Stegostoma tigrinum: one gene and its partners. The protein of the gene in region 1 interacts with the protein of each later gene in a pairwise test. Links are inferred from orthologs where the notes say so. Each region holds a gene or a part of one and is shown in the gene's direction. Other genes may lie near its edges. The genes, in order: protein boule-like, znf385c, tfg and serf2a.

The links.
Region 2: the proteins of protein boule-like (region 1) and znf385c interact in a two-hybrid assay, tested with the Homo sapiens proteins (2 studies listed by BioGRID). The two-hybrid records come from large-scale screens. The link is inferred for Stegostoma tigrinum from reciprocal best matches to the Homo sapiens genes BOLL and ZNF385C.
Region 3: the proteins of protein boule-like (region 1) and tfg interact in binary tests that used the Homo sapiens proteins (3 or more experiments, as listed by UniProt). The two-hybrid records come from large-scale screens. The link is inferred for Stegostoma tigrinum from reciprocal best matches to the Homo sapiens genes BOLL and TFG.
Region 4: the proteins of protein boule-like (region 1) and serf2a interact in a two-hybrid assay, tested with the Homo sapiens proteins (2 studies listed by BioGRID and IntAct). The two-hybrid records come from large-scale screens. The link is inferred for Stegostoma tigrinum from reciprocal best matches to the Homo sapiens genes BOLL and SERF2.

What each region holds. Positions count from the first base shown.
Region 1 is NC_081360.1:31,528,830-31,536,341, forward strand, and holds the start of protein boule-like, read left to right. Parts: upstream 1-4,499; 5' UTR 4,500-4,590; coding exon 4,591-4,608; intron 4,609-7,512. UniProt on the Homo sapiens protein: Probable RNA-binding protein, which may be required during spermatogenesis. May act by binding to the 3'-UTR of mRNAs and regulating their translation.
Region 2 is NC_081384.1:13,221,423-13,228,414, reverse strand, and holds the start of znf385c (zinc finger protein 385D), read left to right. Parts: upstream 1-3,981; 5' UTR 3,982-4,040; coding exon 4,041-4,062; intron 4,063-6,992.
Region 3 is NC_081365.1:29,138,123-29,145,201, forward strand, and holds the start of tfg (protein TFG), read left to right. Parts: upstream 1-4,068; 5' UTR 4,069-4,182; intron 4,183-7,079. UniProt on the Homo sapiens protein: Plays a role in the normal dynamic function of the endoplasmic reticulum (ER) and its associated microtubules. Required for secretory cargo traffic from the endoplasmic reticulum to the Golgi apparatus.
Region 4 is NC_081386.1:9,217,332-9,224,718, reverse strand, and holds the start of serf2a (small EDRK-rich factor 2), read left to right. Parts: upstream 1-4,385; 5' UTR 4,386-4,514; coding exon 4,515-4,521; intron 4,522-7,387. UniProt on the Homo sapiens protein: Positive regulator of amyloid protein aggregation and proteotoxicity. Induces conformational changes in amyloid proteins, such as HTT, driving them into compact formations preceding the formation of aggregates.

The sequences.
Region 1 (7,512 bases):
GGGATGGGGAGAGGGAACTGGAATAAATAGGGAGAGAGGGGGAGGCGGACCAAAGATGGAGAGAAAACAAGATAGGTAGAGAGGAGAGTATAGGTGAGGAGGTAGGGAGGGGATAGGTCAGTCTAGGGAAGATGGACAGGTCAAGGTGGCGGGATGAGGTGGTAGATAGGAAATGGAGGTGCGGCTTGAGGTGGGAGGAAGGGATGGGTGAGAGGAAAAACAGGTTAGGGAAGCAGAGACAGGCTGGACCGGTTTTGGGATGCAGTGGGGGGAGAGGATGAGCTGGGCTGGTTTTTGTGATGCAGTGGGAGGAGGGGAAGGACAGGGCTGGTTTTGGGATGCAGTGGGGGAAGGGGAGATTTTAAAGCTTGTGAAGTCCACATTGATACCATTGGGCTGCTTTGCAGAACACCTCCGCTCGGTTTGCAACAAACAACTCCCCCTCCCATTCCTTAGACATGTCCATCATGGGCCTCCTGCAGTGCCACAATGATGCCACCCGAAGGTTGCAGGAACAGCAACTCATATTCCGCTTGGGAACCCTGCAGCCCAATGCTATCAATGTGGACTTCACAAGCTTCAAAATCTCCCCCTCCCCAATGCATCCCAAAACCAGCCCAGCTCGTACCCGCCTGCGTAACCTGGTCTTCCTCTCACCTATCCCCTCCTCCCACCTCAAGCCGCACCTCCATTTCCCACCTACTAATTTCATCCCGCCTCCTTGACCTGTCCGTCCTCCCCGGACTGACCTATCCCCTCCCCACCTCTACTCTCCTCTCCGCCTATCTTCTCCTCTATCCATCTTCGGTCCGCCTCCCCCTCTCTCCCTTTTTATTTCAGAACAGTCTCCCCATCCCCCTCTCTGATGAAGGGTCTAGGCCCGAAACGTCAGCTTTTGTGCTCCTGAGATGCTGCTTGGCCTGCGGTGTTCATCCAGCTTCACGCTTTGTTGCCTTGGATTCTTCAGCATCTGCAGTTCCCATTATTTCAGCTAGCCTGGATGGTTTGATTGATAGAGATTAAATGGGACCATGTGCTTCACTGTATAAGGTAAAAGAAGCTACAAGGTATTTATATGCAGAAACAATGACAATGGCCTGTGTGCTAACAGTTGATAGACTGTGTGTCTCCAACTTCTTAACAAAGTGTTGAGAATGCTGGGTTGTACTTAATTCCAAGGTGCAAAACAGCGGGACTCACAAGGGTAGCTAAACAGCATTTCTACCTGTTATAAAAGGCTCATGTGATTTACATTGCCATGGAAATATGCTTTGTGAGTGAAAGGGACTAAGATATCCATGATAAGCCACAGACAGTTCGTCTGCCAAGATTCAGAACAGGCTAAAAGTCTATATGGTTTAATACACTGCATTGCTGGTGAAAAATTACAATCGGATTGGAATTGCAAAATTCCCAAGGAGTTAAAATGAAACTGGAAGATTTTATCTAGCATACATTCACAAATGAATCTCCAGTAATATTATGACTATGAAGGAGAATCCTGGGGTTAGATGTTACCAGGCTGCGAAAGGGAGATGATAGAAGTAAACCCCAAGGAGCTAAAAATTATTTTGGACTAATGATTAGAATATTGAATCCCTGGAAATGAATGCCTTGAAAGGACAGCGCAATAAATGTCTGTGTTATTAGACAGAATAAACAGAGATAAACTGAAATCATTATGTTTGTAATGTGTGTGGATAAGTCTTGAAAAAGAAAAGTTGCCAGCTGGAGTGAGTTTAAACCAAGAGAATTATTTATTTACACATTTCCCTTGATAAATCCAAATGTTGATAGGCACTAGTGATTCTTGTCTCAGGAGGTCAAATTTCTTTACAAATAATCTTAGAGCTTTTGTAATCAGGAAGGAGGGGCGGGTACTTATTAAACAAATCTTAGTCTTGTGGTTCTTGAAAAGCAACTGTGGTGCAGCATTTTGCTACAGCTGACGTATTGTTGGTGTTCTTCTGCAGACTGCCAGGTTTGCTCTGACTCTTGTGATAAAGAATTTCAGCATTTGAGGACCGGTTCAGTTGTATAATTATTGGCTGTTGAAATTTAACAGCAAGTAATGGTGACCTTTCGTCTTTGTTTATAAATCATCTCGTTACCTTTTCTCTGTTACATTGCAAACTTGGAGACATTTAATTTAGAAGTGCCTTGTTTCATGTTTTGGAATAAACTTTGATAACAGCAAGTGTGTAATTCCACAAGTATTGTTTAAGCATACTCTTTCAAAGAACTGCACCCTACCATGTAATTCACTTGCAATTTTCCAGAAGCTTGATAAACTGTGTGAAAGTTGCGAAGGTCACCTCATCCTTTTGGCAGCCATCTTAATAATGCATCAATTTAAAAAGTTTTAAAATTTCTAATATCTCTTTGCCTGTATTGGCATGCCACCAGATAGCAGATTACTTTGGTTGAGCTAAAAATACGGGGCTGTGTTGTTCTGAAATCTGGAGTACTGTGAACAGTTTTGGTTTTTATTTTTTGAGAAGGAGATAGGACACTAAAAATTCACCAGATTAGTTCTAAGATGGGATGGCTTTCCTACAGCGAGCGAAGCAAGTTGAAACACCTTTTATCTCCATTCTCCCTTATTCTCTAATCTTTCCCTGATATTCCCTTCTGTTCCACTTGTCTTTGTCAATACCATAAAACCCAACACATTTCCATCCATTTTCTGTTCTGAAGAAGAGTTATATTGGGCCTGAATCATTAAAATTCTGAAGAGACTTGATAGCGTAACCTATGCAAGGTTATTTCTCTCTGGCTGCAGAGTCTGGAACACCAGGCACCATCTGTGGAAACGGGATTGATAATTTAGGACAGATGAGGAAAACTTTATGCAAAGGGTTCCAAATCTTTGAAACTCTCTACAATAACTGTATGCGAATACTATACTATTAATGTATTTAAAGCTGATATAGAAGGGCTTCTGGTCTCCCAGGGAAATTAAAAGATATGGGGAGCATTGGAAAAGTGGTGTTGGGTTCAGATATCAATTAAATAGCATGGGTGGCTCAATGCCCATATGAGCTATTTCTGTTCTTATTCCTTATGTTCACCTAAAAGAACAGGAATAGCAGGTGAATGGGAACATTTCACCTGAAAGTTTATCTCCAAGCCACACACTGTCCTGACTTGGAAATAATTGCTAGATCAAAAATCCTGGAATTCCTGTCAACAGTACTGTTCCTGCACCACATGATCAGCAGCACGTTTTGTTTTAAAGTGACTCATCACCTCCACATCCCATGAGTGAGTCAAATAATTTTCTCCTAATCAGCACATTATAGGGTACATAATAACTTAATTATTAGGACTACAGTTTCCTTAAATAAATAATTATGCATGGCCATTCAAAAGTCCATTCAAAATTTGTTTCAAGTTATTAGACATTTCTGAAATGTTTACTTAATCATTGCTTGCTTGAAAATGTTCAAAAATAGGATTGATAACGTTGATAAGGGATTGAGAGATGTTTATCCTTTATCTGATTCCCTCCAAAGCAGACAAAGTATTTTGAGTGCCTATGTGTATTTTGACCCATAGGGTGCAAATTCACAATTCCTAACGAAAGAATAGTTACAATCATTTAGTTTGAACTGATAAAATTGAATGAAATATATTTTACATCTCCACATTCACTTGTTTTTTCGGTCTACGAAATGATCTTGAATTTGCTTAGCTATTGGTTATTCATGTATGCGTAGGTGGCAGTACGATATAATATTGCACTTTGCGTTTAGAAACACACATTAAATAGGCAGACAAGTACGGTTTGGGCCAGTCGGATGCATGCTACCGTTCAATAATTTAAAAAAGCAAGATGTATTATAAAAGTGCTTTCAAACAGCTTGACACGTTAGAAGAAAGACATCGTTTCAATTTTCTACTGAAGCGATCATCCGTCAACTGATACTTCAGAGGAATGCTGGGCAAGGGAGGTCAAAGCCGCACGAATGGTGGTGTGGGAGCAAAAGTTCGGCCTCACACCCTTTCCTATGGGCGAATTGCAACCCCCGCCCCCTTTGCCTACTACCGAGCCCTCCAGGCATGCCGCAGTTAGTAGTTTCGGGTCGTTGTGCGCATTGTTTCTCAACACGACCGTTATGACAAAAACCCAAATCCAATTTACTAGCGCAAATTAAAGTCCATGATTGACCTCGCTAACTGTACGGGCACAGAAGTAACTGAAAGATGATTGACAACAACAACAGTTGCGTGGTGTCTTCAGGAAAGTAAAGCTGTCTAAAATGAAAATTACAAATCACATATTTTTATTCTTGCTTGAATGCAAGGTCTCGTTACTTGGGAAACAAATAAGCGGTCCCTTGCACTGAATATTTAATGGTATTTGAGGCGGACGCGGTGGCCCTGGGATTTGATTGGCTTGATTTGTGAGTGGAGCCAGTGGGGGTTTGGCCGCCCCGGTCACTGACTCGATGTGGTATGACCCGGTAATTTAAGGTGCTGCCAGTTGCCCACAAACCCAAGTACAGAACCAACGGGCTTTTATTTTGAGGGTTGAGTAAAATTTTGTGATTACGCCCCCCCCCCCGAAACCAACGTTTTTTCGTGTAGATGGACACCGAAGGAGCGGTGAGTGGCCTGGGCAGCGTCGCCACAGCTGGAATGAAGCTGGACGGGCGGTGGGGCGGGGGGGGAAGCAAGGGTCGCCGTGAAGTTGCTTTCCTCACACTTGGGGAAGAGGGGTTGTCTGCCACAACCACCAGTCCGATTCTAATGGGATTGCGATCGCAGCTACAGCGCCGGCTGATTCCTTCACTCACAGATATTTTTATGTAAATTATCAATACATCTGGGAGAGACAGAGACCTCAACAGTTGCAACTTGTTGTTCTGGGAGGTGGGCGAAGCTTGGAAGGTGTGCTGGCAAAACATGGCCACGCCGCCGCATAATCACGACGCCAGTGTGAACGGAGCCATCACGGCGACCGAGATTTTAGGCGAGGATTTCACTTTCGGTGTGTTTCTTTTTGAATTTGGTGTTATTTGACTAGATCACGTGCTCCCGGTCTTAATTTGCGGGAACGGAGGTGCGAAATTTAGCCAGCGTTCACGCGGTCTGAGTACGAACACATTTGTAAACAAGATTGAAGTGCGTGACAATTTGAACGGATCTGTTTTTGAATAGATTCCGTTCTTTTCCACAGTCTCAGTTGTTTGGTGATTTATTTGATGATGGCGCGGGGAGGGGTGGGGAAGAAGGAATGGTACGGTATAATTTGATAACTTACATTGCCGGCGATGTTTATGGTAGGTTTTAATTTGTAAAGGCCGTACTAAGTAGGTCCGACATTGGCATCTCCATGGTGTTTGGGGATTTTTTTTGTTGGTTTATTTGTTCATGTGGGAGTTTGTGAGCGTCGCCTATTCCGCAGATTCCCGCCAAAAGCCGTTGCGCGGGCGCACTGGTTCCAGTTCTCACCAGTTTGGTCCGATCCCCACGGAGATTAAGCCAGTTGCCACGGGCTGTAAATTGGCGTGGCCGGACTACATGTATAATAAACCGGTATTGAATAAATTATTTCATTTACAAAAAAAGGGGTGAGCGACTTTTTAATAGAATAGGATGGCTCAAACGAAATCCGCTGCGCCGCTTTCTGTTCGGAGCCCCAAATTCATAATTGGAAATAACACATTTATTTTGGTTGCTTATGTTGTTTTCTTGTGACTTATTACTTTGAAAAAAAACTATAGTCGCTGTAGCTTCACCCAAGCGTCGTTGCCCTTAGCGGTGGGGAAAGAAGCTGGTGGCAGCCGCGTGCACGGGGTAACGGCTGCCGGACTGGCGCTTGCGCCGCAATGGGGGGCGGGGGCACCCAGACGGGGATTATTGTTTGAATAAGTTTCACCCTCCTGGGTAACAAAACACACAAGCAAGTTTGTAGATGTTTTTGTGTGGATAGTTTGACCAGTTCAGGCAGCATTACCAATTGCGTTGTTACTAATGGAGCGGATGGAATTTTTTTAAACCGAGTTTTTTTCTTTAACTAAATAGTTACTGGATAGTTCAAAATTTGACATGCTTAACTTTGTTGTAAAACGGAAAATCATGGATTCACTATTTGAAACTTTGGAATTGAACTATGCGTGGTTCTTGGGAGTGCAGGTAAGAGCTTCTCGTGGTTAAGGAAAAGTTCAGCTGGTTTTCTAAATTGGTTGACATGGGACATTAGGTGAATGCTAGAGCAAAACAAACAGTCGAGTTAGGGAAAACATAAAATATGTAAATTTAGATATTTAAAATATTGAATGTAAAAATTGTTGTATGAAACAGGTTGTACAAAAGTGGTAAAGCTGTATTTTTCTTGGTGTACGTTGTAATCAAATTAAATTGAAAGAATTGAAATTAAATGCTAACGCTGCAGCATGATTATTTTCCCCATTTCGACATGATAGTCTATCATAAACTTTAATTTTCACTTGTCACCTTTCATATTGCTTACTGCACCAGTGTGACACTGGGTTTGTAAAATTCTTTTGTATTTTTAATTAATTGTTAATTACTATTAATCCACCAATGGCATAGACATCTTTTCATTAGGGTGAAACAACTGCTTGTAAAGCTTTTAGGCACATTAACTGTAGGGAAAGGCAATGAAGCAGCCCCTGTGACCCATTAGAAATGGCACAGGGGCTTGACTTGTTCATTGTGGAACCTTGAACTTTCAATAAGGCTCAGAAACTCCTCACTTCTTACCTCGGTGCGCCATCTGTTGCGATAACCGTAAGACACCTGTTTATTTTCTGAGGCTAAATCTTTGGAGTTGATGGAAAGAGAGAGAAGGCAAATAAACAGTATCACCAAATTTATGAAATATTCTCCTTATGTCTGGGTTTCCTCCAGCTTTTTAGGTGGATTGGCCATGCTAAATTGCCCATAGTGTCCAAGGATGTGCAGGCTAGGTGGATTAGCGATGGGAAATGCAGGGTTTGTACAGATAGGATAAGGTGGGTGGGTCTGTGTGGGATGCTCTTCGGAGGGTTATTGTGGCTCCAATGAATCAAATAGCCTGCCTCCACACTGTAGGGATTCTATAAGTTGAGTTCTGGCACATCTTTCTTTGCTTTTGTGGTATCTCTGGAGGAGGAATGGAGATTTGATGTGTCATTGGCAGAGAAATCCTAAAGAAGGAACAAAATTTAAATTTAGGAATTGCCTTCAGTTGGCTGTGGCACTGTGATTATTTTTCTGTCCCTAAAACGTAATGCTGCTTCCATGAGTTTCACTACCCAGTTCTTGCGGCATGCCACGTTGTACTTGGTGAAGACTTTTGGTCATTTATTGCAATCTTGTCATGTGAGAAGCACTGAAGCAGCATACGGTCTATATTTCTAATGACATTTCATGCTTTCATGCTGAAATAACTGCACAGAGGCCAGTATCCTTTCACTTAGTCATTCTTCATTAAAATGTACACTGCACATGGCCTGTGACCTGCCAGCTCAAAGACAGTCCCTGGACGAAGGAGACATTCTG
Region 2 (6,992 bases), on another chromosome or scaffold:
ACCCACATTGATGTTAAGGAGGCAACAGGTAACCCAATAGATAGTAGGAACAGCAGATGCTGGAGAATCCGAGATAACAAAGTGTGGAGCTGGATGAACACAGCAGGCCAAGCAGCATCTTAGGAGCACAAAAGCTGACGTTTTGGGCCTAGACCCTTTGTCAGAAAAACTAGACCCAGAAACGTCAGCATTTGTGCTCCTAACATGCTGCTTGGCCTGCTGTGTTCATCCAGCTCCACAATTTGTTATCTCGGATTCTCCAGCATGTGCAGTTCCCATTATCTCTGACACAAAGAAGAGACAGCATTGTCAGTCAAATTGTGTTGGCAGTAGCTGGCAATGAGGGTGCAAATGTCTGAATGTTACATATGTGTAGGTGTTGGGGATGGAAGGGGAAGGGGTGAGGGAGGGAGAGACCTGGTACAAACTGAGATGCTGCTTGGCCTGCTGTGTTCATCCAGCCTCACATTTTATTATCTTGGTACAAACTCTGATCAGTTTTAACTGGCTATGATGCGGTCGGGCTGCACGTTGACGGTACTGGAGGATATTGTTTTTTCCACGATCTCTCTCGCTCACACTCTCAGTAAACTGATATGAAGATATCTGCAGCAAGGGAAATGGATGATGATGCTGGTAATAATGATGAGGTTCCCTCCTGTACAGGCTGACCGCCACCCACTCCCGGGTCACTCATGAGCGTACAGGTGGCGCGCGCCTGCAGGTATCGGTGAGGGCCGGGTGCCAGCGCGCGCACCCCTCCCCGCCCGGTCGCGCGCCCGTACATGCACGCGCCCCCGGGATGTGCTGCTGTCGGCGGCGCGCCTGCTGCTGCTCAGTCTGGGTTGAGAGACAATGTTAGAGGCAGCGAGGGAAACAGAGCTCGGGATCAGCGCTGGAGGTAGGGTGACTTCTTTTTCTCTACCTACAGGCACATATTTGTGCAGCTTAATTTTTTTTGAAGATCGCGTCAGGGAATAATCTTGCTTTTCAAAAAAGTACTACATTCAAAAAAAATAATTTCAAACAAAAAGAATTCAGATGTGATACCTTGCCAGTTAATCTTGAGTGTGGGAATAATCTCTGAAGAGAGTGGAGGCTTGAGGGAGTCCAGAAAGATTCAAGTTTGGGACGCGGAGAGAGTGAAAATGATGCCTTTCCAGCCCGATTTCAAGGGGAAGTTTATTTTTGCTGCCTTTTATTATCTGCAAGCATTATCTTTCACGGATTTGATTGCAGAATGACTAATCCCTCAGCACCTCAGAGATAAACTTGTGCTGTCGACCTCGTTATACACTTAAATGCATTTCGCATGATGTACATTATAGGTGTTATTTCTTCCTATAAAGGAGAGAATGTCTTGGGAATATTTGGTTGTATTCTGAAGCAATGTAGCGGAGGCGATGTAAATAACCCTGTTTTGTGAATCTCGGTTTTCCTGTACGCAAAAGTTTCACTGCAGGGAAATTGCATTTCATTAAAGAGTTTCTAAAATTGGTTCAAATCATGGAAGCCTTGGGGGATAGTGAGGGATGTCATCGCATTTCAAACAGCGAAGCAACTGGAAACGGTGAACACTTTTTTTTGCTTTCTGTTGTCGAACCAGTTTTCTGAAATACGTCTTTTGGTGAAATATCTTTCACACATCACAACTGCTACCTAAGGCGCACCTCTTGTTTTTCTCAAATAAAAGTATCTTCGAACTGAGAAGGAGCTCGTTTATTTGGAGGCTTCTTGCCCCCTCTGAGCCTATTTATCTCTGTGACTTGTGTTGAGACCAGTTGTGGTAATAAGAGAGACCCCTATAAGGGCGTACAGATATACACTTTGGTGATAATTTTGATGACATGTTTACCATTATGAAAATGACATACCAACTTTGAGTTGTTGACGTTTTTAACACGGTGAGTATTAAACCCAATTTTAACTCTAAGTACTCTATAATGCTTCTAATGGACGTGCTGGTTATCTTAACATGTCAATTGTATTATATAATAGAAACTTTTCAAACGTGCTGGATGTGGTTTCTTTTTAAGTTTTAATGTATTGCTTTTATAGTGGGTAGACATTAAATCTTTATATTCACAAAGAGGCAAATAAACATCCTCCAGGATTTTTCAGTACATTCCAAGCTCACCCAGACAATATTGCTGAGCAGAGGCAGGGAGAGAATTTGGGAGGAGAGAGTGCCTACACACTTCCCATTGGCTAGTGAAGACCAACTTATCAAATGTGATGCTGTTCTAGTTAATCATGAGTGTGTGAATGATCTCTAAAGAGAGCGGAGGCTGGAATGGTTCAGAAATATTCAGGTTTGGGATGCAGATAGTAAATATCGTGCTTCTTCAATCTGTTTTGATTGGCTGAGCCTAAAGGGCACAGATTTCTGTCTCTAGAATATTGGTGAATGCAGCCAATAGACCCAAAGACTCAAATGGAGAGGTAGAATTTATACAATCAGGTAGCAGCGTGAATGATTTGAGGTCTTAAATATATTCAAGTCCTGTACTTTTGGTTGGCTTGACATGTCTCACCTAATTTCAAGTTCCATTAGATCTTATCCCTAAATCAGGGAGTTGGTAGGTCGGTTTGGCTAGATGCTGGTTTGCAATGCAGAGTGACGCAAACAGCATGGGTTCAACAGCATGGGGATTCGCTGAGGCTACCACAAAGGACACACCATCTCAACTTCTCCCCTCACCTGTGGCATGGTGACCCTCAGATTAAACCAGCACTGATTGTCACTGGCTCAGGAGAGAGCAGCCCCATAGTTCTCTGAGTCAGATTCTGAAGATTTAGCCACAGAGTAGGAGAGGATTCCATTTGCATGAAAATTCAGCAGTGATGCAGTCACCCTTCCCAATGCAATAATTCTCAAGAAAGCAAAAGATCCTCCCATCTACTGTTTGTGCTTTTACTGGCACGTTTAATGTTTCTTCACGCACTTAAAAACCTACTCAAACATCAGGTCGTTATACACTTTTGAAAGAAGAAACCCCTAAGACTGCAAATTGGATAATAGATTGGTAGTTATCAAAGAAACCAACATGTCCTGTTGTCAATATAGAAGAAAAAACTCTCCCCATGAGGTTTACTGCCACAATCAAAACCCAGCAATTGGGCAATTTTAATGATCTTGAACATTCCGCTGCGTCTCCTGTCAGAATATTAGATCAGTGAGTTGATTAAGGTGTGCTGGGATTTTAATTATGACAATCAGTTGACATGTGGTGACATTGCTTGTCGGCACACCTAGAGTAAAGACAGTTCCCACTATCTTAACCAGTACGACAACAACGATTGAACAATCTGTTTGTAGCAATTCATTACCTCCCTGATATGAATGAGTCAACGAGGCTAAAATTAAAACTAAATTTTTGATAATTTATATCAAGAGAGTCTTCAAGCCACCCCCTTGCTCCTTCATGCTCACACTTTGGTCAGAAGATTAAGATCTGAAAATGACTGCTGGTGACATTATTAATAAATGGTTTGACATATTTAAACAGAGAGTGTTGCCTACCATCTAAATGTAGGATTAACCCATTTATTTTCAGTAACAGACAGGGGAATGTTATATGAATATGTTAAGTGTTTGCTGTTTCTGCCAGGAGGAGATTTTCAGTTTGAGAACATAAACAAGATGATATAATGTTTAAGAGGACACAAGTTAATATGTTTGAACCATAGGTTTTCAGATCTATGGTATTCAGAGTATATGAATGATCTTGCAGACTACATTTGTTATCAGCAGTGCCTGTCCCTCAGCTGAAGGATGATGTCTACTCCAGTGGGTCTTCACTTGACTGAACAGGCCAATTCTCAGCCCAAAGATCTTTCGAGTAAATGTGGCAGGATGTCCCATGAGGTAGCGGGATCTGGAGTGCAGGATTTGCTTCCTTTCCTTTCTTTCTCTGCCACTGCTCTGCCTCATTATTAAGACAATAGGAATCAAAGTATGATGCTGCTTGATGGACAAGCTATCACGATTTTGAACAATTGATAACAAGTTCCTCTCAGTCATTAATGTCAGTGATGCCATGCTTCATGGAGAGCTCCAGAGTGCGTTTGATTACATTTGTGTCATTTGGTGAAAAATAAGAACTGTATAATTTACTGTATAGTCTTTTTGTGTCACCTTTCTGGTTTGGCAACTATTATCATTACCTCTCGTCTGATTTTGCTTATCCATATTCTCTGGCATACTCTCTTAAAGTAAAGATGTTTGCGCCCTGCAAACCAATTTAGCAAACTGTTAAATTTGCTTAATTGCAATCATTCAAACATCATGATGTTTGGAAGCGCTTTGGAGGTGAGATGATGTATGTTTGATCTATGCCATTCTATTGGGGATGTAAACGATCCTTTGTTTGCTGCTCTGTTGTGCACAGGACATACTGGTGTAGAAGTCAAGATTCCAAGACTAAAGTCTTTTGTCAAAAAGTAAGAGATTGACTTCTTCATGAGTAACATTTTGGAGCGGTTGAAGCCCACTGTCTCCACTCATTTTGCTATCTCAGAGTTGTTCCCACTAGCTGTTCCCACAAATCCTGCCCCGAAAAGTACCACACAGCAGTGAAATTATAGCGTTGACATCATATGTTGATATGCTGAGACATGAAGGAATGGAATACTCATTTCCAATGGTGTGTTGTTCCATGATTCTATCAGAGCATCAGAGCAAGTTTGAGCTCGGTGGTCGGTGCATGGTAAGTACAAGGTGTTTGGATTTTTTAGGCGTAAAATTCTTTTTCTTAATTTATGCACAAGACATATGAAAATGACTTTGTTTGGGGGCAGAGGCTGGGACTGACAGAATCAACCATTACCTGAGTATGAACAGTATTATTTTGTAAACAATGTCAATGTAGGAATTTTTTTTGGATGAGATGTTAAATGAAGTGTGACTGCCTGTGCCAGTTGTTCAGGTGGCTGTTTAAAAATCATAATATGATATCAATAACATAAGATTATGACTGTTATATCAGTCCAGCACAGTGGCTACAGCCCAGAGGTTTTGTGTCGATGCAAAGTAAAATAAATGAAGCACTGGGGACTGTGACAGTATGGTGGTATGCAATCTGTCCCTGCTACCACTCAGCAGTAAAGACAATTTGATAATAAGTTTGTCCACTTTTCTGTTGGCACACTGAAGGGCTCCATTTGGTGCACGGGGGGAATACATGGATTTTTAAATATTAAATATTTAAATATTAATTTAAGCACACCAATATTATTTGCAGCGCAAGTTACTTCTATCTGCCTATATGATAAGAGCTTTAGCAACATTTTGTTGCAGCACTGTTTTTATTCCATATATATAGATGCTGATTATTTAAAATGGAACACTTGTTCCTTGTACAGTCATGGCCCTCAGAAAATGTTCTCCTCATGAAGCAAGGGCACCAGTAAACAGACCTAAAGTGGAAGAGCGAGCAACTGCATACTCAAAACCATGACAACAATTACAGAAGCAATAATTTGCCACCGCTTTCAGATAAGACCACAGTTTCTAATACATCACTACATCACCATCTGTCGCATTGCTTTAATCTGTGGTGATTCTCATCATATCCCTGTTTTCTGACCTTGTGTCAGCTGCAGTGCACATCATTTTGTTTCAGTGCTTTTTCAATCAAGAAGTTGTTGATCAGCTTTGGTGCAGAACTTTGGCACAACTGACTCAGCTGGCAGTATGTTCTGACAGAGGCATCAACCAGAATTCTGCTTGGTGATTCCATGTGAATTTGGATGAGATCACGGCAGGAAGGTACTGCAAGTGGTGAGCGTTATTATTGCCTCACTATGTACCCTTTATTTGCCTGTCCTAGCTGAGATCACTGCTAACCTCTCCTTCACCACCTATCTCATGAAATAATTGCTATAGGATTGAACTCCGGCCAGTTTATTTTCCATTAATAATTCCTGGGGCTGCCCAGAGGAATGCGATGGTAGGTGACAATAACAGCGTCTTGCAGTGTTCCTATGGAGCATGAGATGGTAGGTACGGCCGATGCTGGAGAATCTGAGATAACAAGGTGTGGAGCTGGATGAACGCAGCAGGCCAAGCAGCATCAGAGGAGCAGGAAGGCTGACGTTTTGGGCAGAGACCCTTCTTCAGAAATGGGGAAAGGGAAGGGGATTCTGAAATAAATAGGGAGAGAGGAGGAGGCGGATAGAAGATGGATAAAGGGCAGGATTAGTGGAGAGGAGACAGACATGTCAAAGAGGCAGGAATGGAGCCAGTAAAGGTGAGTGTAGGTGTGGAGTTAAGGGAGTGACAGGTCAATCCCGGGTGGATGGACAGGTCAAGGGGGCGGGATGAGGCTGGTAGGTAGGAGATAGGGGTGGGGCCTGAAGTGGGAGGAGGGGATAGGTAGGAGGAAGGACAGGGTAGGGAGTCAGGGACAAGCTGGGCTAGTTTTGGGATGTGGTCGGGGGAGGGGAGATTTTGAAGCTGGTGAAGTGCCCATTGATACCATTGGGCTACAGAGTTCCCAAGCGGAATATGAGTTGCTGTTCCTGCAACCTTCAGGTGGCATCGTTGTGGTACTGCAGGAGGCCCAGGATGGACATGTCGTCTGAGGCGTGGGAGGAGGAGTTGAAATGGTTTGCGACTGGGAGGTGCCTCCCCGGCTGTCCTCCGTCAACATTATTTTTCCAAAGCAGTTTTGCCCTCCAGGCTTCTTGATATGAACTGTGAAATACACAATCAGCTCAGGGAAACTGACCAAAGAATGACAGAATTATGAAGGTGGGAACTGTCTATCTTGTCAATGCCAGATTTTCATTTCAATATTGCAAAACTCATCAACCTTGCTCTCTCCTTATAGCTCTTTATCTCCATCTGCTTGGGGAGAGGCTTGGGGACTGCTTTGTGGTACACCTACGCTCGGTTCACAACAAACAACTGCAGCTCCCAGTCACGAACCATTTCAACTCCCCCTCCCATTCCTCAGACAACGTGTCCATTCTGGGCCTCCTGCAGTGCC
Region 3 (7,079 bases), on another chromosome or scaffold:
CTATCTTCTGCTAATCATCCCACTTCCCAACACTCATTTGCAGATTAGTCTTCCTCCTAGCATTGTTTTCCAATAATTTTTGTATCATCAGCAAACTTCAGTCACATTCAGACCCTTCAACTAAATCATTAGTATAGATTGTAAGTAGCAATGGTGGCAACCCATGAGTAGAGGCCAGCCAAACTGAAAATGAAACATTATTGTAAGTTCAATATCTGTTTCCTGCATATCAACCAATTATCCAGCCATGTAAGTACATTACCCAAACCTCATGAGCCTTTAAATTATAAAAATATCATTCAAATAATTTTTGAAATCCACCTACTTGCTGCAGCCCCAAATAATTCTCAGAAATTTGACTAATGCAATTTCTTTCTCATAAACCCTGATTACTTTGTCAAACAAATATTCTCCTGTGTCCACATAGTCACGTCCAGTAAACTGAGAGGCTGTATACCTCTTGACATCTTCTTTTTAATCATCCAGTTATTATCCTTAGCACTCAATATAATCTTAAGTCCTATTTCAGGCTCTTATCTCAGAGAGTCTTTTTCCACCTGACCTGAGCATTTCTGACCTCTTTCCCATTTCACTTGTACTGTTGTTGAAACCTTCATCCATGATTCTCATTTCAACAAGTACCAGCCTCCCATCTCAATAAACTAAGTTTTCAGCCCAAATTCTCTCCTAAGTATGATTCTACATAGCTCTAAGCCATTACTTCATTAGCTCTTTTCAATAAGTTTTCAATTCAGTCAAATCTATCTGAGAAGTCATCTCCAACCCTACATCTCTATCCATCAGCTCTATTTTTCTGATTCCAGATTACAGTCCTATTTATTCTTTCCTACCTCTGTTTTAGCGACTTAAACCAAGTCTTGAATTCATTTCCAAAAACACTTTCCCTTGCCAACTCTCAGAATCCATTGCCCAGTATGTATCTCCCTCTCCCTGTAAAGTGCTCAAACTTATGTTTATATATGATGTGGAGGTGCTGATGTTGGACTGGGGTGGACAAAATCAGAAGTCACACTACACCAGGTTATAGTCCAACAGGCTTATTTGAAAACACAGGCTTTCAGAGCTTCAGTCCTTCCTCAGGTGTTAACGGGAGAGATAGTATCATACCATTGATGAATCCACGCACCCGTTCCCCACCGTCTCATATACACACGTGAATCTATGGGGTGAATTTATATTTGTAGATACATCTTATTTTGTTCAAAAAGCACACAATTTATTGCCAGTCAGTCAATATGGTGTTTTATTACTTCCTACTTTAGACATAAAACCAGTCTGGCTCCAAACTAAAACACAAACAGATTCTGAACAAGGCCTCACACCTAACATGCATTGTCTGACCTAAAATGTCATCTCTTGTTTACACTGATAAAACCTTCACTTTTCTCAGGACCATGACTTGAAAGGAATTTGGGGGTCTACATATGTGGATTAATCAATTAAAATTTTTTAACTAATTGAAGATTTAACAGCATCTTAGGTTTGTTTAGTACATCAATGGTGTGAACCTTTGATCTTTTATTTATAAATTCTGTGTCTGATACTACCTCCCTCACTAATGCCTGAAGAAGGACTGTGGCTCTGAAAGACATAACAAGGTGTAGAGCTGGATGAACACAGCAGGCCAGGCAGCGTCTCAGGAGCACGAAAGCTGATGCTAGACCCTTCTTCAGAAGACCCTTCCTGTGGCTCTGAAAGGTGGTGTGTTCAAATAAACCTGTTGGACTATAATCTGGAGTTGTGCGATTTCTGACTATGTTTATATAGAACATGCTGAAGGAGGTTACATGATCGATCTGATTATTGTTTTAACTCCACTTTCCTGCCTGCCACTCAGAACTTGTGGCTCTTTTGTTGAAGAAAAGTCTAACTGAGTCCTGAATATATTCAATGATTCAACCTCAACTGCTCTCTGTGGAACAGAATTTGGAAGAATAATGGCACTCAAAGGAAAGATTCCTCTTCATTTTAGTCTTTCATGGAGTCTTAATAATATTATGCCCCAAAGTTCCATAATTCCCAATGAGGGTAACATTCTCTCAGCGTTTTTAAAGCTGCATTAAAAATTTATATGTTTCAATAAGATCACCTCTCATTTCTCTAAATGCTAAAGAGCACAGGCTCAACCTGCTGAGCCTTTCCAAATAAGAAAACCTCAATATCTTAAGAATTAGCCTAGTGAATATTCTCTGAATTGTTACCGATGCATGGATATCCCTTCCTAAGTCAGGAGTTTGAAATTGTACATAATTTTTAGATATGGTCTCACTAATGTATGGTAAAGTTGTAATATGACTTCCTTACTTTTATACTGCAATTCCCACATTAAAAAGCCAACATTAAATTTGTCTTCCTAATTATTGCTTTGCCTACATTCTAATTTTTTGATTCTAGACAGCAAATGCATGATCAATAAGTAGGATAGTGAGATAGGACATGAGCAGCAATGTTTTGGTCAAGACAGCATTTATAGAAGCTGAAGGGTAGCTCCATTCAGAAATGATGTAGAGATGTCCGTGTTGGACTGGGGTGGACATAGGCAGAAGTCACACAACACTTTTGGAGCTTGTGATTTTAAATAAACCTGTTGGACTATGACCTGGTGACATATGACTTCTGACTTTGTCTATTTAGGAAAACATTGAATGTAGAGATGACCTGCACATTTGCAGTGTTTGGCAGCAGATTTTGACAGTTTGTTGCTCTGAAAACAGAATTGGATGATATTTGATTGATGGCATTTGACAGAATCTTACAATTTCCTCAAGAGGAAAGATTTGATTAAATGAACCAATCTCCCTTTGCACAATACTCACAATTCTCACTCACTAAACCTGTTAGAGGACAGACACATTCCTGTCCATTCAGAACAGCACTGCTAATGTACCTACAACATGTGGACTGCAGTGGCTTGGGAAGGCAGCTCATCTCCACCTTCTTAAGGCTAAGTAAGCATGGTAATAAATGCTGGCATGGCCAATGACACTCACTCCCTGTAAAATGGTTTTTAAAATATGACAAATTATAATTTTGCCATTATAATGTGGTGAGACCACACCTGGAATACTGCGCACAATTTTGGACTCCGTATCTGAGGAAGATCATTGTGGCTATGGATGGAGTGCACCAAAAGTTTACCTGGCCAATACCTGGGACAGCAAAACCAATGTATGAAGAGAGACAGGATTGGTCAGGACTATGTCCACTGAAGATTAAAAGAAGAGGACTTCATAGAACTGTATAAAATTCTAAATGATTAGATATGGCACGTGCAGGATGTAAAATAACCAAAAGAACTGTGGATGCTGGAAATCAGAAACAAAACAGAAATTGCTGGAAAACTCAGCAGATTTGGCAGCATCTGTGGAGAGAAGAAAAACCAAAAGAACTGTGGATACTGTAAATCAGGAACAAAAACAGAAGTTTCTGCAAGCTCAGCAGGTCTGGCGGCATCTGTGGAGAATAAATCGGAGTTAACGTTTTGGGTCCAGTGACCCTTCTACCGAACTCAGGAAGTTCAAAGCAAGGGTCACCGGGCCCAAAATATTAAGTCTGTGGAGAGAAATCAGAAATAACATTTTGGGTCCGGTGAGCCTTCTTCATTAAAGCAGGATATTCTTGATGATCTGGGAGTCCAGGACCAGAGGTCACAGTCAAAGGGTAGAGGTTAGACCCTTTCGGATTGAGGTGAGATAGTGAGGCTGTGGAATTCTCGCTACAAAAAGCAATTCAGACCAAAATATTGGATGTTTTCCAAGATGGAGTGAGATACAGTTCTTATGGCTAAAGAGATCAAAGGTATTTCAAAAAAGGGACAAGGTCCTGAGTTGGAATTATCAGCCAGATTGGTGGAACAAGTCCAAGAGGTGAATGGCCTACTTTTTTTTTCCTGTAAACTATATTAACAGAAGGAGAAATGTATCTTTTTATGGAATTCAAATCCTTCAGATGGGCAGACTTCCTGAAAAATGTTAAAATGCTGAATGCAGGGAGGGAAATGCCAACCTTCATGTGTGAGTGCGCATGCTCGCTGCGCTTTGCCACGTCCAGACGGCAGGCCCGGGAGGAGAGAGGGGAGGGACTTGGCGTTTGTAGGAAACGGAGAGAAGGACAGGCACTGAGCTCGCTTCAAAAAAAAACCCCGCAAACTCCCAGCCACAGGTTTGTATTTTTCTCTCTCTCTCTCTCATACACACAAACACATTCCTTCAGTACTGATTGAGCAGTGAACGGAGAGGCCGGTCCAAGTGAGGAGCGGGCCCCAGGCCTACTCCCGGCCCGGCTCCCATCAACCAGCCGGCTGGCCCCTGGTGTCATCCGTTCGCACTCGGAGCCGCTCATTCCTTCATTCCGTACAGATCCAGGGTTGAGGGGTTGGCGGGGAACGGGGTGATTTCCTGCCGTGGGAGAGACGTGAGACCCGGCAGGAAGTAAATCTGAGATAACAAAAGTGTGAAGCTGGATGAACACAGCAGGCCAAGCAGCATCATTTTTTTTTGGTGGCGGGGAGGTCGGTGGGGGTGGTGGGAATATAGGGAGAGGGTAGTTTGGTAGCGGAGACGGGGAGTTTGGGTGTGTAGGAAGTAAATCTGTCCCGGTTCAGAACACAGGTCTTCTGAGAGTTTGGTGGGGAAGGAGGGACATTTGTGGGGGGGTGGGGTGTGGGGTTAGTTGGGTGGGGGGGGGTGGAGATATTTGGGGGGTAGGACGGCGGGGGAGGGGTGTACGTTTTGGGGGGGTAGGTCGGAGGAGTACATTTTGGGGGTTTGGTCAGTGGGTGAGGGGGTATTTGAGGGGTTGATCAGTGGGGGAGGGGTATATTTAGGAGAATAGGTCGGTGGGGGATGCAGGGAAGTTAGGGGAGGGTTGGTCGGAGGGGGAGGTGGGGAATATGGGGAAGGGTATGTTGGTAGGCGAGGTGGGGAATTTGGGGTGTAGGTTGGTGGGGGGTTGGGGACGTCGGTTTTTGGGGGTAGGTTGACAGAGGTGGGGGTTGGGGAGGGATCTGGGGGTTGGGGAAGGGGGGAGGTGGGGAAATTGGAAGGTCAGTCAGCAGGGGGAGGAATTTGGCAGGGTTATTGGATGAATGTGGGTTCTGAGACAGATTGGAGGATGTGGCAAAAGGGTCTGTGTAAACTTTGGACCAGTGTTTGGTGGAAGGGGTTGTCCTGAGTTTGGCTGGGGGCAGAAACCGTTTTGAGCAGTTTGTTGTGATTTATGTTGGAAGGATTTCTGGGATGAGTTAGGTATAAAAGTGATACATAATGGTTGGTTCGAAGTGTATGGAAAACAGGGAACTGGCTGCTGAAGAGTAGAGTTTCAGTATGTAAAAAAAGTTGAATCAATCAGCATGTCTGTAATTGAGGAAAAGAACATTTATTTTCAATGAAGGAAATGATGTTTCTGCAGTGACAGCAACTGTCTATCTGATGAGATGATTTTCTGTCAGCAAGCTTTTTAAACTATTGATTTAAAATGCTTGTGCAAGTGTTAGAATATTTTATATGTAGATTGTCATAAAATTGCATTTCACTTGTTTGGTTATACTGCTTCTCGAAGAGATGGGTCCAATCAAACACAAACTTAAGATACTAACAATTTTGGACGTTTGTTAAAGGTTTGATAATGGACAACAGGATGAATTGAAGGAGCATGAGGAGTCAGTTGCAGTTTGAATTTGGATCAGTTATCCTATGTTACCTGCCTGAAGTGCCCTTGGGTTGATGTGATACCGATTCCTTGAGTCAAATGTTCCTTGTCGTTTGCTATTGAGCAGAATACTAAATATTCCAGAATTATCAATTCTAACTTGCACTTTGACGGGAAAGCTGCAAATGACTCGTAGTTGCAGTAGTATGGTACTAATTGCATATGTGAGTGTACTGTACCTACAGATTAATTTTCTTCGTGAATAGGTGTATGGATATCATGGTAAATAAGAGGTGAGAACATGTTCCTGGAAACTTGGAATTTAATACTGGAGCATTTCTCAGCATTTTGGGGCATATTTTTCATATTTTATTGTAAAATATCATCTATTGTTAATTTATACATGCTGTTTTATTACTTATGTGTTTAATCATAATCCATTTGTACCTCGAATTCTTGACAGTGATGTTGTTAGATAACCCCAATCTATGTTAATACTTATTAATACTTAATATCTTGCTAAGCTTGTAGGCAAAAGAATGGGACATGAATATACAAAACTTTTCTTCGCAAGTATAATCCAGGCCTAGACACTGAAATCGTTAAAAAGAAGTAACTACCTCAGAGGCTAGCAGCTCATCATACATTTACTGATTTTTGTTGCATTGACTTTGAGTTACGTTTGGAATTGTGATGTTGGAGTTCAGATCTGATTTTTGAGTACACATGAACATTGTGTATAATCATAATAGAGACCAGATACAGATGATAAATGAATATTCTTGTATGTATGACATATATGTTGTCAAGAATTGACCATGTCACGTTTAATCTGTACCTTTCCCTACAAAAATGAAATGAATATATGCAGTATATATCCAAAATTCTTCCATCCAAAAATATTTCATTGGTCATACTCAAGCTTTTAGGCACAGTGGGGTCCATTTGATTTGTTAAATCCCTGTTTATATTACTTTTGCATTTATGTCAAGTAAATGATACGGATGGTGATTTTGGATTTAATCCTCAGTGAGGCAACGCGACTCATAGGAACATTGGGCCGTAGGAATTGGGAGTAGGAATGGGCAGTTCAGTCCTTTGAGCCCTCTTGGCATTGACATGAGCATATCAAATCTTATGCTGGTCTCAACTCCACTTCTCTGCCTGTAACCCGTAGCCCTTTATCTCGCTTTTCATCAGAAACACCTATTTCTCTTTTGAATCAGTTGATTTGATTCTACCTCTGTCTCTGTGGCAGTGAGTTCCACAGACTCTCAACTCTCTGAGAAAAGTAGTTTCTCTTCATCTCAGTTTTGAACTTAGCTACTCTCACTACATCTATGCCTACTTATTTGAGACTGTCCCACAAGGGGGGGGACATCTATTCGATGACCACCTTATCAATCCCT
Region 4 (7,387 bases), on another chromosome or scaffold:
TCCCCTCCCTACCTCCCCACCTATACTCTCCTCTCCACCTAGCTTCTCCTCTATCCATCTTCGGTCCACCTCCCCCTCTCTCCCTATTTATTCCAGAACCCTCTCCCCATCCCCATCTCTGATGAAGGGTCTAGGCCCGAAACGTCAGCTTTTGTGCTCCTGAGATGCTGCTGGGCCTGCTGTGTTCATCCAGCTTCACACTTTGTTACCTTGGATTCTCCAGCATCTGCAGTTCCCATTATCACTGACTGAAAGGAAATGCTTGCATCCTCATCAGTTAACTATGACATGTTAGGGTGAAGACACTGCTAATCTGTTTTAAATGGGTACACTCACCATAACAGAGTGCAGCATTGGTTCAAAACTACTCATTCTTAAGAAGAGGCTGAGGAGCTAGGACCTATATTCTAGAACATAAGAGCAGAATTAGACCATTTGGCCCAACACACTCTGCTCTGCTATTTGCTCCTGGCTGAAATATTTCTCAACCCCATTCTCTTGCCTCCTCCCCACAATCTTTGATCCGCTTACTAATCATGAACGTATCTAAGTTTGTCTTAAATACAGTCATTGACTTGGCCTCCACAGTCTTCTGTGGCAATGTGCTCCATAGGTTCACCACCTTCTGGCTGAAGAAATTCCTCCACATTTCAGTTCTAAAGAGTCATCCCTTCACTCCAAGGTTGTGCCCTCAAGTTTTAGTCTCTCCAACCACTGAACATATTTTCTCCATGTCCACTGTATCCTGACCTCTCAGTATTCTGTAAGTTTCAATCAGATCCCACCTCATCCTTCAAAACTCCACTGAATAAAGAGATCTCAACTTCTCCTCATATGACAAGCCCTTCATTCCTAGAATCATTCTTGTACACCTCCTTCAAGGCCAACTATCCTTAGATACAGGGCCCAAAACTGCTCACAATATTCCAAATACGATCTGACCAGAGCCTTAAATAGCCTCAGCTGTCCATCATGCTCTTATATTTTAGCCCTCGTGAAATAAATGCTAACACTGAATGTGCCTTCCTAACTGCCAACTGAACATCCATGATAAACTTAAGAGAATCCTGAACGAGGACTCGGAAGTCCCGTTATGCACAGATTTCTGAAACTTTCCCCATTTTAGAAAATAGTCTGCGCCTTTATTCCTCCAACCAAAATGCACAACGTCACACTTTCTCATATTGTATTCCATCTGCCACTGCTTTGCCCACTCTCCTAATTTGGCCAAGTCCTTCTGCAGTCTCCCTGCCTCCTCAACACTACCTGTCTCTCCTGTCTTTGTCTCATTTGTAAGAAAACGCCTCAGTTCCTTTTTCCGGATCATCAATGTTTAACGTGAAGAATTGTGGTTCCGACACTGACCACTGCGGAAATCCACTAGTCTCCAACTGCCATCTCTAAACATATCCTTTTATCCCCACTCTCTGCCTTCTGCCAATCAGCCAATCCTCTATCCATGCCAGTACTTTGTTTCTAATGGGCTCTTATCTTAAATGGCAGCCTCCTTAGTGGTACCTTGTGAAAGGCCTTCTGGAAATCCAAATAGATCACATCCATTGCTCTCTTTTCTTGAGCCTCTTCTGAGTTTAGCAGAATTAGACATGACGTAGAAAGTTTTTTTCCCTGGACTGTTTAGTCCAGGACCAGGGGACACAGATTCAGCATTGAAGGCTGGAGTTTAAGTCCCATTAATCCAGTGGTATGTAATAATATCTCTGAAAATATCCTAAAAAGACACCATTTAAAATGAACATAAGGACGAACCACTTCAAGCAGAGGATGGTATTTTGAATTTTCTAACTCAGACAGCTATGGAAGCTCACTCAATAAGTGGGTTCAAAGCAAAAATTGACAGATTTCTAATTACTGATGACACCAAGGAATGTGAGGATAGAGCATGAATATTGTTTTGAAGGAAATAATCAGCCATGATCTAGAATGGCACAACAGGCTTGAGCAGTTGAATAGCATTTGCCTACTCCCATATTTTTAAATGTCTGGTAAATACCTTAATGGGATTAGCTGCTTACATGCTTGCTGACATCACTGATGCATGCCACTTGGTTTCAGATTAAAGTAAGAAATGGGAAACTCAGAACAGGCACTGTAGGATATTTGTGAGCTGCTTTCTTTTGGCAGAGATAACAAGGTGTAGAGCTGGATGAACACAGCAGGCCAGGCAGCATCAGAGGAGCAGAAAGGCTGACATTTCGGCCCTAGACCCTTCTTCAGAAATGGGTGAGGGGAAGGGGATTCTGAAATAAATCGGGAGACAGGGGTAGGTGGATAGAAGATGCACAGAGGAGAAGATAGCTGGATGGGAGACAGACAGGTCAAAGAGGCGGGGATGGATCAGTAAAGGTGAGTGTAGGTTGGGAGGTAGGGAGGAGATAGATCAGTCCAGGGAGGATGGACAGGTCAAGGGGGCAGGGTGAAGTTAGTAGGTAGGAGATGGGGGTGGGACTTGAGGTGGGAGGATAGGATAGGTAGGAGGAAGGACAGGTCAGGGAGGCGGGGATGAGCTGGGCTGGTTTTGGAATGCGGTTGCAGGAGGGGAGATTTTGAAGCTTGTGAAGTCCACATTGATACCATTGGGCTGCAGGGTTCCCAAGCAGAATATGAGCTGCTGTTCCTGCAACCTTCGGGTAGCATCATTGTGGCCCTGCAGGTGGCCCAGGATGGACATGTCATCTAAGGAATGGGAAGGGGATTTGAAATGGTTCGTGACTGGGAGGTGCAGTTGTTTAGTGCGAACTGGGTGTAGGTGTTCTGCAAAGCAGTTCTCAAGGCTCCACTTGGTTTCCCCAATGAAGAGGAGGCCACAACGGGAACAGCGGATACAGTTTACCATATTAGCAGATGTGCAGGTGAACATCTGCTTGATTTGCAAAGTCTTCTTGGGGCCAGGGATGGGGTTGAGTGGGGAGGTGTAGGGGCAGATGTAGCACTTACTGCATTTACAGGGGAAGGTGCTGGGTGAGATGGGGCTGGAGGGGAGTGTGGAACAGACAAGCGAGTTGCAGAGAGAGTGGCCCCTCTGGAAAGCAGATAAGGGTGGGGAGGGAAAAATGTCCTTGGTGGTGGGGTCAGATTGCAGATGGTGGAAGTGTCAGTGGATGATGCGTTGGATCCAGAGGTTGGTGTGGTGGTATGTGAAGATGAGGGGAATTCTGTTTTGGTTGTTATTGGGGAAAGGGGGTGTGAGGGATAAGTTGTGGGAAATGCGAGAGACCCGGTTGAGGGCGTTCTCGACCACTGAGGTGGGAAGTTGCTGTCCTTGAAAAACAAGGACGTCTGAGATGTATGGGAGTGGAATGTCTCATCCTGGGACAAATGCGACTGAGGCAAAGGAATTGGGAATAGGGGATGGAATTTTTGCAAGAAGGTGGGTGGGAGGAGCTGTATTCTAGGTAGCTGTGGGAGTCGGTGGGCTTGAAATGGATATCAGTTTCTAGGTGGTTGCCAGAGATGGAGATAGAGAGGTCCAGGCAGGAGAGAGAGGTGTTAGAGATGGTCCAGGTGAACTTAAGGTTGAGGTGGAAGGTGTTGGTGAAGTGGATGAACTGTTTGAGCTCCTCGTGCGAGCACGAGGTGTTGCCGATATAGTCATCAATGTAATGGAGGAAGAGGTGGGGTTTAGGGCTAGTGTAGGTCTGGAAAAGGGATTGTTCCATGTAATCTACAAAGGGGCAGGCTTTCTTTGCCACTGAATGCAAAATCCAGCCTGGTGTGTGCGATAATTTTTGACTTCCTGTGATAAGTATTTTTTCTCTTCTATCCATTTTTCCATTATAGATTCCTAAGTTTCCTATCCTCTGTCTTAGGGTCTGTTAATTGTTTTGTCAATCCTTGCTTGAGCCTGAGCTTGATCCTCAATGCGTATTACGCATTGCATATTCATACATTTTCTGCTTCATCCCACTCTTCATCTCATCATCAATCATGGAATGGTGTATGTGTCAGCACTAAAATTCCATCAACCATTCAGTGGAGGGACACTGAAGCAGGTGGATGACCAGAGGGATTTTTCTGGGGAAGAATAAAGAAGTTGAAATACAAAATTCTCTGAAAATTGAAAGCATCCAGCTCATGTAACGATTAAAGTACGAGCATTTTCCAAGGAGGAGCACTGCAGATAGATCCAAATAATTGTATCAGTTAACAATCTTTTGCCAGTGCATCATAAGTCAGTTGTGAAAGTTACCAGGGTTTGGTTAACGGTCCAAAAAAGACAAGGGCCCAATGGGTAAAGGCTCAAATCCCCTCCCCCACGTGAGATCCTCTCGCAACCGTGCATGTTGTGGTGTGACGACACGTGATTGACAGCGTACCAGCCATTCAGGAAGTAGGAACTGACGGTAGTAGCTAATCAGGAGGTGGTGGGCGGGGTTGAAAGCAGTTCATCAGGTTTGGTCGTCTGCCCGCGGCGGTTAGCAGGCGGCAGCGGATTCGGCTGTGGCGGCGGCGGCGACGGCAGCAGCAGGGGGTGGGAGATTAAACAAAAGGACAGGATGACCCGTGAGTAGCGGTGAGAGAGATACGGTGCCCGCCTCTCTCTTTTCCGTCTCCATGAAACGACGGGTTCGGAGCTGAATTGTCGACCGGCGAGGTTTAAGGAGGGAGGGGTTGCGAGCGTTGCCTTTCTGAGGCCTAGGCCCCGATCGACGGGTTCGCCCTTGGAGCGAGAGGCACGGGGTGGTGGGCGGTGAGGGCTGATAGGCCCCTGGTTTGCCACTCCTCACCCTTTTCTGTTTGCTTTTCGTTGTCTGAGAGCGGCCTGCTCCTGAGTACAGGCACCTGGACCTGGCCCCTCCTCTCTCCCTGCCACGTCCGCACTCCGGGAATTTTCGTCGGCTCAAAATAAATCGGCAGGCAGCCGTTAAAGGGTAGGGGGCGGGATGACCCTCCTGCAGCTTGAGGGAAATGGAACCGCAGCTCCCTAGTAACAGACGGAGGATCGGCCTCGGCCCTGACTCTTGAGTGAAAGCACCGAAAGTAGCGAAAGTGAGGAGGTATGGTAGCTCAGTGGCTAGATCTGCTGCCTCACAGCCCTAGAGACCCGGGGTAATGTGAACTGCAGATGCTGGAGAATCCAAGATAATAAAAGTGTGGAACTGGATGAACACAGAGCCCAGCAGCATTTTAGGAGCACAATAGCTGACTTTTCGGCCATAGAGGCCCCTAGGCCCGAAACGTCAGCTTTTGTGCTTCTAAGATGCTGCTTGGCCTGCTGTGTTCATCCAGTTCCACACTTGGTTACCCACGGACCCGGGCTTGTTTGTAGCCTCGGGCGACTGTCTGCACATTATCCCCGTGACACTGTGGGTTTCCTCCCACAATACAAAAATGTGCAGGTTAAGTGGATTTGCCGTGCTAAATTGCCCATAGTGTCCAGTTGGTATGCAGGCTAGGTGGGTTGGCCATGTGAAATACAGGGTTACAGGGATATTGTAGGAGGTGATATGTTGTTTAGAGGGTTGGTGTGGACTTGGGTTGAATGGCCTCCTTCTACATGTAGCAGTTGTGGTGTGAGCAAGAGGAGGCTATTCAGTCCCTTTAAACTGTTCCATCCTTCACTAGAATCTCAGAACACACGTAATTAGAGTGGGCCCTTTGACCCTACTTTGCTGTTCAATTAGGTAGTCAGATTGTTGATGTCGGCTGTGCCTTCCCATTTGTCTCAATGTTTTTTATGTTCAAATATCTGTTAAGATCTTTGTGTACAGGATTTGGTGTTTTAAATTCGCTTGTATGAAAACCTGACTGTCTCAAGCTGCTGTTGATAATTCCTCATTACATGAGGAAAATAGTTGGCTTTTTTTGGGTCGAGTGCTGCATTGACTGTGCTGGCTTGTTATTGGCTTTGCAGTCTGCCTTCTGGGCTCAGTGACTTGAGCCACCCGGTCTGGCTCAGCCACATCCAAACTGTCTGATGATTAGGTCCAAAAATCAAGAGTGGGTTTACTGACGACTGGTTTTGAGATACCTGTTCAGTGACTGAAAGTTCGCAGCCCTTTGGGAAGAGATTCTCCCATTTGAAATTCTTCAGCTCTCTTTGTCTGTTGCCCCATACACTATGCTAACCTTGTCTGATACAAATCTCTTGTGGCTTGTAAAGCCATTGCAACATTGAGCTAATTTCTCTCAAAAAAGCCATTCTTGTCTGGTTGGAGTTGGTAAATGGGTTTGGGGGGATCGGCAGAAGAATACTTTCTGAATTTCTTTTTTGCTTGCCTGGCTGTCAGTTGATGATTTCCCCCATAAGTTGAGGAATTTCTGTCCAAAACAATTATCAGTTAAACTCCTTGATTTAACACATGCACTGTGAAAAGTATTGTTTTGCTTGCTAACAAGACAAATCATACCTTGCATAAGTGCATTATGGTAATAGAAAAAAACATACTAGTGGTATAGCTACAGAGAAAGATCAGCTCAAAAATGTGAAAGGTCTGTTTGTAAGTCAGATAAGTGGGGAAGATTCAGTTCTTAAAGCTGTTGGTAAGTTTGTTCAAACTTTTGTATCTTCTGCCCAATGGAAGAGGATCGATGAGAGTCTAACTGGTGGGAGGGGTCTTTGATTATGTTGGCTACTTTCTCTTCCAGTTTTATGGGGTTCTTGTCATACTTCTGTATCTACTGTTTAACCCATTAAGCCTGTTGTGTTCTTGGTTTGTTATTTTTTTCTTTCATGAAATCTAGGTGCTGCTGGTTATGTGAGCACTTATTGCCCATAACCTTGAAGAGGCTGGTAGGCCAGCCATTGAATTACAATAGTTTGTTTGGTGCACCATAGCATTGTGGGGAAGTCCTTACAAGATTTTGACCTAGTGATATTTAAGAGGTAGTAATGTTCCAAGATTGGATAGTATTGCTTGGAGGGAATTTGTAGTTCATGGTGGTATCCTTTCAGATGTTGAAGGAAAATTCTTAGATAGTTATATTGCATCTTGTAGATGGTACACACTACAGCAACTTGCCTAAATGGTGGTTGGATTGAATGTGGAAAATGGGTGGAATTCCATCAAGAAGATTGCTTTTTGTTTTGGATGGTTTCAAGCTTGGTTTATCAGAGATGTAGAAATTGGAGAATATTCCATCACACTCCTGATGTGGGTCTTGTAGATTGTGGACAGACTTTGAAGAGTTGGGAGGTGTTACTGGAAACCTTCCAGAATCTATCCTGTTTTTGTAGTCAAAATGTATATGGCTGGTTTCACTCCAGTGATAGTATCTGTGGATGTTGATAAGAGCTGATTCAGCAAACGGTAATGCAAGTGACCGTCCAGCTGTAGTTGATCTCATTGAGAACTGTCATTTCTTTGTATTTAAGTGGTACACCTGTAATTTGGCACTTATCAGCTGAAGTCTAATGGTTGCCCACATC